Linked DNA regions of Callithrix jacchus. The protein of the gene in region 2 purifies or fractionates together with the protein of the main gene of each other region. This does not show direct contact. Links are inferred from orthologs where the notes say so. Each region holds a gene or a part of one and is shown on either strand. Other genes may lie near its edges.

The links.
Region 1: the proteins of EXOSC10 (region 2) and EXOSC9 purify together in Homo sapiens (co-immunoprecipitation; 7 studies listed by BioGRID and IntAct, with this or other methods). This does not show direct contact. The link is inferred for Callithrix jacchus from reciprocal best matches to the Homo sapiens genes EXOSC10 and EXOSC9.
Region 3: the proteins of EXOSC10 (region 2) and EXOSC7 purify together in Homo sapiens (affinity purification with mass spectrometry; 6 studies listed by BioGRID and IntAct, counting the BioPlex papers as one, with this or other methods). This does not show direct contact. The link is inferred for Callithrix jacchus from reciprocal best matches to the Homo sapiens genes EXOSC10 and EXOSC7.

What each region holds. Positions count from the first base shown.
Region 1 is NC_133504.1:75,883,614-75,887,920, reverse strand, and holds the start of EXOSC9 (exosome complex component RRP45), read left to right. Parts: upstream 1-1,400; 5' UTR 1,401-1,499; coding exon 1,500-1,565; intron 1,566-1,881; coding exon 1,882-1,976; intron 1,977-2,707; coding exon 2,708-2,827; intron 2,828-2,961; coding exon 2,962-3,064; intron 3,065-4,307. UniProt on the Homo sapiens protein: Non-catalytic component of the RNA exosome complex which has 3'->5' exoribonuclease activity and participates in a multitude of cellular RNA processing and degradation events.
Region 2 is NC_133508.1:48,971,081-48,975,325, reverse strand, and holds the start of EXOSC10 (exosome complex component 10), read left to right. Parts: upstream 1-1,388; 5' UTR 1,389-1,431; coding exon 1,432-1,542; intron 1,543-3,746; coding exon 3,747-3,883; intron 3,884-4,245. UniProt on the Homo sapiens protein: Catalytic component of the RNA exosome complex which has 3'->5' exoribonuclease activity and participates in a multitude of cellular RNA processing and degradation events.
Region 3 is NC_133516.1:27,748,663-27,752,305, reverse strand, and holds part of EXOSC7 (exosome complex component RRP42), read right to left. Parts: intron 2,481-3,643; coding exon 2,357-2,480; intron 991-2,356; coding exon 835-990; intron 246-834; coding exon of another isoform or gene 153-245; exon of another isoform or gene 134-152; intron 1-133. UniProt on the Homo sapiens protein: Non-catalytic component of the RNA exosome complex which has 3'->5' exoribonuclease activity and participates in a multitude of cellular RNA processing and degradation events.

The DNA.
Region 1 (4,307 bases), on a different chromosome or scaffold from region 2:
CTTCACAATTTCTATCTCCAGACCATGTGGAGCCCGCATCCCATCTCATTTTTGCATGTGTTACTCTTTCTGCTTGAAACACTTTTCCTCTCCTCCAGATGGCATCAAAGTTGCTCCTGCTTAACATCAAAGATTTATTTTACTTAAATGTCACCTCTACAAAGTCACCTGTTCCTGCAACTACCCCTATTAAGATAGCATTCCTATTCTCAGATAGACTTACCACTGTATGAAATTGTTCTATTTGGTTTAGGGTTTTTTTGTCTCTTCCAAAAAGAATATAAATTCCTTGACAGAAGGGATCTTGTCTACCTCATTTCTCCAGCACTCAAATTATTCCTGGACACAGTAGGCCCTCTTCAAGTATTTATTGAGTACATGGTAGTACAAAGTGAGACTAAGATGTATCACTGCTAAAAAAAAAAAAAAAAAAAAAAAAAATGTGAGAAGCTACAAAGAAGCCTAAGAGCCTGCATAGGAGTTACAGTGCCTACCACCCTCTAAAGCAAAAGGAAACAAAATAATAATATGCAAACACTTAAATAGTGCTTACTCCATGCCAGGCACTGTTCTAAGCGTTATATGTATATATAAAAACTCATTTTTATCCCTCATAATACACAGGTTTCTCATTCGCATTCCCCCACTTTTTTTTTTTTTTTTTGCAGGTGAGTAATGTGAAGCACATAGGTCAACTTGCCCAGGGTTATAGTAGTTAACAATAGACTTACAATTTGAACCCTGGCAAGGAACACTTATTAAAACTATTATTTGATACTGCCTCTCCAAAAAAGCTGAGTGGTTGGCAGCATGGCCCCGCTGTTTCTCTGTGACCGTAAAAATAAGTCTATCAACTTCAAATAGCTGGGGAGCGGATAATAAACGTATACTTAGTTTCGTCCACAGTAGCAGTAACGCCATTAGTTATTACGTGCAAACGTTCTCTATTCTCGTCAGCTTTTCAGATCCCACAAGATTTCACCTTTGGCAGCAATAACATCCCGTTTCACCATGTCAACTTTCTCCACCATCCCGTATACCCCCTCATTCCAGTGCTCGTTCATTGAATCTGCTCCGAACCCTGCATCTGCGGCTTTCTAGGGGCCAATGTTAATTCATCTGTAAAATAGCAATAGTATCTGTCTAGTCTCCACCCCGAGAAAGGACTGAGCGAAAGGTGGAGTGTGAGAGCGGTCTACTGATATTAATTTCTATCACTCTGATGGTTATTGTAAGTTTCCTTTTCTCCTCCGCACTTTATGAGCAAAGAAACGAAACTTCACGTTCAAAAACAGCCACCATAAGGGGCATTGGCTTGCCCTATTCACTGTTAAGAGTCTGCGCAGTAGCGAAGGCCAGAGCCCTTGCTTTCTCATTTTCCGCCGCCGCGCTTCGATGACGTAAATTTTCTGCGCCGCGGGACCGGCAGCGGCGCTTCAGGAGTCACGTTCCGTTTCCCCCGCGGATTTTAGTGCCAGTGGGACCCGGGACCCAACACCATGAAGGAAACGCCACTTTCAAACTGCGAGCGCCGCTTCCTACTCCGTGCCATCGAAGAGAAGAAGGTATGGTTTGGTCCCTGCAGAATTGGCGCGCTGCTTGGGCGCCAAGGTGTGAACTCATAACCCGGTCCGCCTGGGCCGGGGGAGCAACTAGGGGAGCGACCGGCGGGTGCACCCCAACCCTCAGGCTTTATTATTGTTTTTTCGACAGGTTCTTTTCAAGGCTCCCAGCAGTTGTCTGTGCTGTAGTTTCCGCTTTTCTATATGGGCGGGATGGTTAGGATTTCACTTTCCTCCAAGTGCTTAGCCCAGAGCCAGAAAAAGTAATTGCTTAAGAAATACTTGTTGAAGGAATAAATGAATGAATTTGTGCTTACAGCGGCTGGATGGCAGACAAACCTATGATTATCGGAACATCAGGATCTCATTTGGAACCGATTACGGATGTTGCATTGTGGAACTTGGAAAAACAAGGTAACAGAATTTAAATAATATATACATTCAAAAGGGAGAAGTTTTTAAAAAGACATATGTTTATAAACCAGCTAAGAAGTCTGGACGGTATCCTTTGTTGAGCTGACAAAAGTAAGTATTTTTTTATGCAAGATTTTTTGGTTTTGTGGTCACTATTGAAATTTGTAATCATAAACCTATTTTCTGTCACGTATCACATAGTTCTTTCTGACTTCTATACATCGTATAGACAACCAGTAGTGACCACACTGAATTTGTTTCTCATACTAGTATAGAGATCTTGAGCATCTTGTCATTAAGTATACATCCTGCTTTCCTCTTTTTCCTGAGTGACATGAAAATTAGGTTTTCTGATATTCATTTTAAAGTTGTGAGACTATTTGGTTAGATAATAGTGGTGAACGATGCCATGTGAAAACCCTTAAGAAATCTCAAGTTTTCATGCCATCTTGTATCAATAAATACTTGCTTTAGAGGTAAAGGTCATTGATTTTTAAAACAATCTGTGGAATAGTAAACATTGTAATAAGATTTTTTTTCTGTTGTGTTTTTAGGTGTATCAATTTATGTTTTATTTCTGTGTATATTATACTTTATATATAATTATATCTCCTATGATATATTTGGCTGAGTGTGATATTACTCAGTAAGGTTGAAACCTGCTGTTTCAGATTTTTTTTTTTTGGAAGGAAGATCTATTTAGTTAATACTTTGTTCCTTTATCTTTTCAGAGTTCTTGGACAGGTTTCCTGTGAACTTGTGGCTCCAAAACTCAATAGGGCAACAGAAGGTATTCTTTTTTTTAACCTTGAACTCTCTCAGATGGCCGCTCCAGCTTTTGAACCTGGCAGGTATTTAAATCTTTTTCTTAAGCTACTTTAGTCATAGGAGGACCTCACAGTAGTGACCTTTTTTTTTTTTTTTTTTTTTGAATACCTGGTGTTGTATTTCATGACATTAGCCCCGTCCTATTTTCCTATTATAGGCAGTCAGATCTCTTGGTGAAGTTGAATCGACTCTTGGAAAGATGTCTAAGAAATTCGAAGTGTATAGACACTGAATCTCTCTGTGTTGTTGCTGGCGAAAAGGTGGGGAATATGCCCAAATTTCTTTTTTTTTTTTAACCCCAAATCACATGGAATGGAGAATATGCCCAAAATTCTTAATCTTAGGATAAATATTGTTGATTCACGGATCCCAGTGTCTGTTTTTATTCTCAGAACTTTCGTTAACTCAGTTTTGTACTGGTTCACTTCACTTCAGATGTGATACCCTTAGAACTTTGTGCCATCTCTCTCTCTCTGAAGGGACAAAAAGCTTTATCTTTAAAGGGTAAAAATAGTAACTTAGATTTGTGTGTAAAATATTTTATTTAAAGAACTTGTGGCTTTTTCATATAATCTCTCATGTATTTTCTTATGTTACCTACATGAGTTCATAGAAGCAGGTAGTTTTCTTTTTTCATGCAGAACTCAAGAACAGATGAAATCACTCATTTTGATAGGTTTATCGATTTACACAGGGCCACATCATGTCAGTAGCAGGGATAACTTTGGAAATCTTAGTCCCAGTAAATTGTGCTGCATTCGGATATTAGAATTGTATTATTATTATTATTATTTTGAGACAGAGTCTCCCTCTGTTGCCCAGGCTGGACTGCAGTGGTGCAATCTCAGCTCACTGCAACCTCTGCCTCCCCTGTTCAAGCCTTCCGAGCAGCTGGAACTACAGGCACCTGCCACCACGTTCAGCTAATTTTTGTATTTTTAATGGAGACAGGGTTTCACCATGTTGGTCAGGCTGGTCTTGAACTCCAGACCTCAAGTGATCCACCTGCCTCAGCCTCCCAAAATGCTGAGATTACAGGGATGAGCCACTGTACCTGGCCAGAATTTGATTCTTGATTAAGGTATTTTGACAAGCTTTTTACTCCACAGAAATCATTTAGCTTTCCATATTCCATACCTAAGTATAATACTTCCTATTTGCATTACTTGTACCCTTATTAAAAATATCACAAAACCTAAAAGTTTAACTTTTAAAAATTTTTTATTTATTATTTTCTCTTAGGGATAGGGTGACACTCTTTTCCAGGCAGGAGTGCAGTGGTGTCATCATATCTCAATGTAACCTTAAACTCCTGGGCTCAAGGGATCCTCTTGCCTTAGCCTCCCAAATAGCTAGGACTACAGTGCATGCCATTTCACCTGGCTAATTAAAAAACATTTTTTTCTTTTTGTGGAAATAAGGTCTTGCTGTGTCGCCCAGGCAGGTCTCAAACTCCTAGGCTCAAGCAGTTCTCCCACCTTGGCCTCCTAAAGTGCTGGGATT
Region 2 (4,245 bases):
AACACACAGCCAGCCAGAGCTTGGGAGAAAGTGACTTTAAATATGAGGATGGGCCGGGCATGGTGGCTCCTGCCTGGAATCCTTGTGAGGTGGAAGGACGGCTTTTCACGAGTTTGAGACCAGCCTGGTAAGAGGCAGTCTAAAAAAAAAAAAATTAGGTCGGGCACTGGTGGATCACGCCTGTAATCCCAGCACTTTGGAAGGCCAAGGCAGACAGATCACTTGAGGTCAGGAATTTGAGACTAGCTTGGGCAACATAGTGAAACCCCATTTCTACTAAAAATACAAAAAAAAAAAAAAAAATTAGGCATCATGGCACACACCTGTAATCCCAGCTACGTGAACCCAGGAAGTGGAGGTTGTGGTGAGCTGAGATTGCACCGCTGCATTACAGTCTGGGCAGCAGAGTGAGACTCTGTCTCAAAAAAATAAAATATAATTTGGCTGCATGCTGGTGGCTCACACCTGTAATCCCAGCACTTTGGGAGACCAACAGAGTGAGACTTTTTCTCAACATAATTATTTTTATTTTTATTTGAGACAAGGTTTTGCAATGGTTCCATTTCGTCTCACTGTAACCTCCGCCTCCCAGGCTCAAGCCTCAGCCTCCCGAGTAGCTGGGATTATAGGCGTGTGTCAACACCCCCTGCCAATTTTTGTATTTTTAGTAGAGATGGGGGTTTCACCATGTTGGCCAGGCTGGTCTGGAACTCCTGACCTCGTGATCCGCGCGCCTCCGCCTCTCAAAGTGCTGGGATTGCAGGCGTGAGTCACAGCGCCCAGCCTCAAAAACATAACTTTAAAAAATATATATTTTTTTGCGACACGGTCTCAATGTCGCCCTGGCTGGAGTGCAGTGGATCAATCCATAGCTCACTGCAGCCTCCATCTCCTGGGCTCAAGCAATCCTCCCACCTCAGCCACCCGAGCTGCTGGGACTACAGATACACACCACCACACTCTGTAATCCCAGCTTATTTATTTATTTATTTTTAATAAACACGAGAATAAACGGGGCTCGTGGCCCTCGCCTGTGGTCCCAGCTACTTCGCAGGCTAAGATGGGAGGACTGCTTGAGCCTTGGAGTTCAAAACCAGATTGAGCAACATGGTGAGACCCCGTGTCAAAAATATATGTGATAATCAGGTCCTCCAGGCCGCACCCTAGACCACAGCGTTGTTGGGATGATACAACATTAGGTAAAAGAACTTGAAGTTCATGACAGAGCGCTCGGAGGTGACACCCCAATCGCCCTCCGCCCCTCCGCCCCTCCGCCCCTCCGCCCCTCCGCCCCTCCGCCCCTCCGCCCCTCCGCCCCTCCGCCCCTCCGCCCCTCCGCCCCTCCGCCCCGGCGTACGCGAGGCGCGCACGCGTCGCGTCGCGTCGGCGGAGACGCTATCGCGAGAAGAGCCGTGCAAGGGGGGGTGAAAAATGGCGCCGCCCAATACCCGCGAGCCCGGGGTCCTGTCGGCGACAAGCGCCACCAGATCTGACGGGGAAATGGTGCTGCCAGGCTTCCTGGACGCCGACAGCTTCGTGAAGGTGAGTTCGCGGGGCTTCGGGGGTTCCAGGAGTCTCCCGCGGCCGCCGGAAGCCGACCCGAGAGCTCTGGGCATCCAATGCCACCTCGCCGCATTAGAGCCCCGACGGGGGTCGCGGGGTCACTGTCCGCAGCGCGGACTCTACCTGCACCCTGCGGGGATGGGACCTCGGAAACGGACGCTTAGGGACGTCCCGCTTGCCAGCTTAAGTTCACGTAGGCCCAAATGTGGAAAGCCGTATCGCATCCTAGAAAGGGCTTCCTTGCCACCCAGACGTCCCCAGCCCTTGCAATGTCCCCCCCGCCACTCCTGAGCCACCCGGCCAACTCTCCTCAGGGGCTCGGCTGTTTCGCGCTCCCCACACTTGTCCGGAGTTGTCCCCTCCCGCGGCCGGGATGGCCTCTCTTCCATTCCTCTGTTCCGCTGTGCAATCCTACATAATTTTTAAACCTAAGTTAAATGTCACTGGTTAAAGCCCCATTGCACGTTTATCAGTAACTCCTGGAAGGTACACAGAATGGTTCACTTAAGTTATTTGTATAACTTAGCTTACACATGAACAAACATACAACTAGGTTTAAACTGTGCATAGCTCTTACAAAGCCATGAAACTAATTTGTAAATTAGCTCTGTAAATTTACAGAAACTCCACTCACGTTGTATCTATCTAATTTGCCACTAGCTAATGCTATTCATTTGTTTGGCTCTCAGTAGTTCCTGGACCACTAACTGTGATCCTGATTGTGTGGCACTTATGCTCATAAGCTACCATGTGCGCCTCCATGGCTTAATTTCCCACCTCCTTTCTCTGCTTTTTTCTTGGGAAATATTTATTCACACAACTCACAGTGACATCATTTGGCCTTCACATGGTCAGCCATCATCTATATCACTTTGCGTTTTTTCCATTACCTCACAAGAGTTAAAATAGAGAACCACTTGACACTAACTGAACAATAAACACAAATCCAGTTTTAGATAGTAGCTATTATAAATTGACAGTCCAAGGATCTAGGAAAAGCTTGCGTTGTTTTAAGATGCTCATCAAAATGAAAACACGGAAACAAATTCCTGTAGAAAGCTCTTGGATCTGAACTTGAGTCATAATAATAGCAGTTATCTGCCAAGAACTGTCCTAAGTGCTTTTATTAGCTTAGTCATTCAATCCTCACAAAAACTATGGTGCAGGCCCTTTTTATTTTTCCCTTTTTTTCAGAATAGAAAACTAAGGTCCAAATAAAAGAAATCACTTGCCCAGATGTTTGTTAATACATAGCAGTGTGTCAAGATTCAACCCAAGGTTTTTGTGCGTATTAATCATATTACATACCTGTGTGTTTGTTCTGTCTCTCAACTCTCCCAAGAATATAAGCTCCAAACTTGGTTTCTGTTCACGATTCTGTATTCTCAGGGCCTAGATTAGATTGAGGTTTGTACTAAATGAGTTTCGTTGTTGTTGTTTTTTTTTTTTTTTTTTTTTTTGAGGCGGGGTTTTGCTCTTGTTTCCCAGGCTGGAGTGCAATGGCGCGATCTCGGCTCACCGCAACCTCCGCCTCCTGGGTTCAGGCAATTCTCCTGCCTCAGCCTCCTGAGTAGCTGGGATTACAGGCACGCGCCACCATGCCCAGCTGATCTTTTGTATCTTTAGTAGAGACGGGGTTTCACCATGTTGACCTGGATGGTCTCGATCTCTTGACCTCGTGATCCACCCGCCTCGGCCTCCCAAAGTGCTGGGATTACAGGCTTGAGCCACCGCGCCCGGCTGTTGTTTGTTTTTTGAGATAGTGCCACTGCACTCTATCACCCAGGCTGGAGTGTAAGTGGCACTATCTTGGCACATTGCAACCTCCTCCTCCCAGGTTCAAGCAATTCTTCTGCCTCGGCCTCCTGAGTAACTGAGACTACAGGTGTGCACTACCACACCCAGCTATTTTTTGTATTTTTGGTAGAGACGGGATTTCATCATATTGGCCAGGCTGGTCTCGAACCCTGACTTTGTGATCTGCCTGCCTTGGCCTCTCAAAGTACTGGGATTATAGGCGTGAGCCAGTGCACCCAGCCCTAAATGAGTATTTTTTTTGATGGATGAAGAGTAGACATCTTCAACATCTACTGCAATGCACTGTATACAATAGATCAAAAAAATGATACCCAATGAATGGGAATCCATGTGTAAAACATGCCATCTTTTCTGGTTTTTGACAGTTTGCTCTTGGGTCCGTGGTGGCGGTCACCAAAGCATCTGGGGGCCTACCACAGTTTGGCGATGAATACGACTTTTACCGAAGTTTTCCTGGCTTCCAAGCATTTTGTGAAACACAGGGAGACAGGTTGCTTCAGTGGTAAGTACTATATTTTGTTACCTTGTGAAGGAAATAAAAACAAAGAGGTAGATAAATTTTTTCCTGAAATTTATTTTTCCTTAAACATTTTCTGTGGTATGAAGAGCTATAAAATGTGAAATAACAAAGCAATGGATTTTGATTAGGGAAATATTACTTGGTATTTTTTAGTTTAGCTTTTAAGAAATGTATTGACTTTTGTACAAATCTTTTTGTTTTGTTGTTGTTGTTGTTGTTGTTGTTGTTGTTGTTGTTTGAGACAGTCTTATTCCGTCACCAGGTGCCAGGCTGGAGTGCAATGGCGCGATCTTGGCTCACTGCAACCTCCGCCTCCTGGGTTCAAGCAATTCTCCTGCCTCAGC
Region 3 (3,643 bases), on a different chromosome or scaffold from region 2:
TTCCTGAATTCTTCAGTAAGAGGTCATCGTATCTAAAAATGAAGGAAGAGTGCTTGCTACTAAGCAATGATCTCTGGGCATGCATGGTGATATAGAGGTTACAAGAAAGTATGAATAATCAAATCCAGCTCACTCTGTTCCTGGAAGTTCCGTCAGTCAGTCAGAAAGGTGAGGTGGATGGAGGGGAAGGAAGGTCTGGAAAACAGGTGAGCAGAACCCTGTCCCTGCCCTGAAGGACTTCCAGGCTAGTGAAGTGACAGACGTGGGGAAAACAGTACAGAGAACTTAGAAGTGCCCTCATGGCTCTGACAGGAATGGGGACAACCCACTCCCAACTCCAGGGGGTCGGATTTCTCACCATCCCTGCTTGTCTCCATTTAAACACTTCTAGAGTTGTAATGAATTTGGGAGACAGCCACACTTCAACCCCTGCTTCCACCTTTACTCACCAACTTCAAGGGACAGGAAGCAGTGAGCCAAGAATTCAATTCCTTCAACAAGTCACTAAGGCCTGTGATTTTGGAGTTACGAGTGGCTCTTTCCATTATGGAAGTCCAGCAGTCTTATTTAGACACACAGAAATGAGTTGCAGGGGGACTTACTGAGGATAAGCAATGGTTGCCAGTAGGCTCCTTACCTCCCAGTCCAGAGTCTCCACCCTCCAACCCTCCTGGTTAGGTCAGCAGACCCCTGGCTCAAACCAACTGTTCTCCAAGCTCCAGGTTTGAAGTCAAGGATGTGAATGGGAAGAATCCCCACGGTGTAACCAAGTGGGCAGGAAGCAGCAGGTGTCCCGGCCAGGTCCCCACACCATCCACAAAACCAGGGCCTCACCTCCATCATCTCGAAGATGCTCTCTGGGTCCAGGCTGCCCTTCCCCACTTTCCTCAAGCACGTCACAACTCCCTTGCTGGTCACCGACACCAGCAAGCTGGCCAAGGAGCAGGCCTCCTCCTGAAGGGTAGCATCCACCACATGCCGATAGCCAATCTGCAAAGGCAGGGTACACAGCACACAGGGGTCACACAGGCTCCAGAGCCCCACTCTTGATGGCCTCGTGGTGGGAATCTCTACACCAGGCAAAGGATTCACATAGGTCATTCCAGGTCTTATTTTAGATTCTGCTCATGAGGAAAACAGTTGAAGGAATGTTCAACAATTCTCATAGGCCACTGTGTGGGTGATACAATAAAAACATGACACGGAAAAATAGGGCAAGGGGGTTTAAAACTAGAATTCAGAGACCATCCAAGACAGAGGCCACAGAGGCTTTCCAACAGAGGGGCACAAGGGACAAATTCCACACAATGCCACATCGATGTTTCACTGATGGCAAGGAGGAATCAAGAGGCCCATGCTAAGGGGCACACTCAAGAACAAGCCAAAGGCTGGTTGCAGTGGTTCATGCCTCCCAGCACTTTGGGAGGCTGAGGAAGATGGATTACTTGAGCTCAGGAGTTTGAGACCAGCCTGGGCAACATGGCAAGACCCCGTATCAACCAAAAATACAAAAAAAATAGCCAGGTGTGGTGGTGTTAGCCTGTGGTACAAGCTACTCAGGAGGCTGAGGTGTGAGGGCTGCTTGAGCTTGGGCCTGGGCAGGTGGCGGGGGTGGGTTGCAGCAGAGGTTTCAGTGAGCCTAGATTCTGCCACTGCACTCCAGCCTGGGTGTCACAGGGAGACTATTTCTCAAAAAAAAAAAAAGGCAAGACCCAATACCCTGCTGTCTGAACACTTCACCACATCCTGTTCATGAAGTTATTTCAGTGGAATTAAATCTGACCAGTTTAGCTTTATTTTAAGATAATGAATCCTGAGTGGAATTAGCTACAATCCCAGTTAATAGCCAATACAGGTCTCTTTGCACAGCCTGGGGCAGCATTAGTTATACGTCACATCAGCCAGATGTTGAGCTCCACAGCCCTCTGCTCTATAGGAAAACCACTCCTGACACCGAAGACCTGCTCTAATCTCCCATTTCATAGAGGGGGCATTGTTTGCCACCCTGCCACTACTCAGCCACCCTAAGCCCAATAGAGTTGAGGCAATTAAAGGACACAGTGCTTTACTGAAGTACATGGTATGTGGAAGGAGCTTAACAAACTCTGGCTACTATTACTACAAACACACTCCTGGCTCCCAGGCCACATCATATCTTCCAACTAAAAAGAAAAGAAAAAGCTACTCATGGTAGTGTTTTTCTAATATAAGCAAATTATTGGATCTGGGTTAAAGCTATTTCTATATGGTGTGTGATATTATAATTTATCAACCTATTAAGTAATCTCAGCAGATTGCGATTAGAGGAGACCCACATCCACAGGGAAGACAAAAACCATAAAATACAAGCTTATACCTTGCACAGAGTGACAATGCAGGGAACATTCTCGACACTTAGTCGTATGCAGTCATAAGGGTCATCAGACAATTCAATGTCCTTTGACCCCTCTTCGTCCTCCAGAACTCGAACCCTTGGTATCCTGGAAACAGAAGCACAATTAAAATTTCCATTTACTGTGAGGAGGAAAAAACACTTCTTTTTAAGATTGAGAATAGGAGTTAGAATCCCTGTGTCTCAAAGAGAAAGGTACGCTATGCCTATCCTTTATTATCTTCGTCCCTGTCAAAAGCATACGGGAGGCACCACAGTCCAATGAGGAGAGGCATCTTTTAGAAAATAATGCTGGGTCAATCAGATATCCAAATGAAGAAAAATGAACCTCAATCCCTACCTCACACCACACACACGTGAAGCGGTACCAAATACACCACAGATATAAAAGTGAAAGATAAGACAATAAAGCTTTTAGAAAAAAACATCTGCATGACCTTGGAGTAGACAACTATTTCTTAAACAGGATACAGAAAGTGTTATCATAAAAGGGAAAAAAGTTATAGATCCAATTATATTAACATTATGAACTTCTGTATATCATTTAAAAACTAACAACACAGAAAATGGGTGGGTCAGCCCTTGAAAGGTCCTAAGATCTGAGTGTGAGTACTATATAAGCATAAACTGGAGTGCAGTAAACCTAGGAATCCTCCCACAATTGTTTATTTGAGACACAGTCTTGCTTCGTTGCCCAGGCTAGAGTGCAGTGGCACAATCCCAGTTCACTGCAACCTCTGCCTCCTGGGTTTAAGTAATTCTTGTGCCTCAGCCTCTCGAGTAGCTAGGATTACAAGCATGTGCCCCTATGCCCAGCTAAGTTTTACATTTTTAGTAGAGACAGGGTTTCACCATGTTGCCCGGGCTGGTCTTGAACTCCTAACCTCCAAGTGATCCACCCGCCCTGACCTCCCAAAGTGCTGGGATTACAGGTGTGAGCCAGCGTGCCTGGCCTGTTTTGTTTTTACAGAGAAATGGGGTTTCACCATGTTGCCCAGGCTAGTCTCAAACTCCTGATCTCAAGCGATCTGCCCACCTTGGCACTGCAAAGTGCTAGGATTACAGATGTGAGCCACTGCACCTAGCCTATTTGTTTATTTTTTAAAAACATTTCCCCATCACTTATTCCAGATCCCAGAGCAAACTCCCTCTGCTCTCAGATCTTGACACTAGATATATATTCCACAGTTTCAGTCCCAGATCATACACTCCAAGATTTCTCATCCATATATATGTGGACGCCATCCTTTC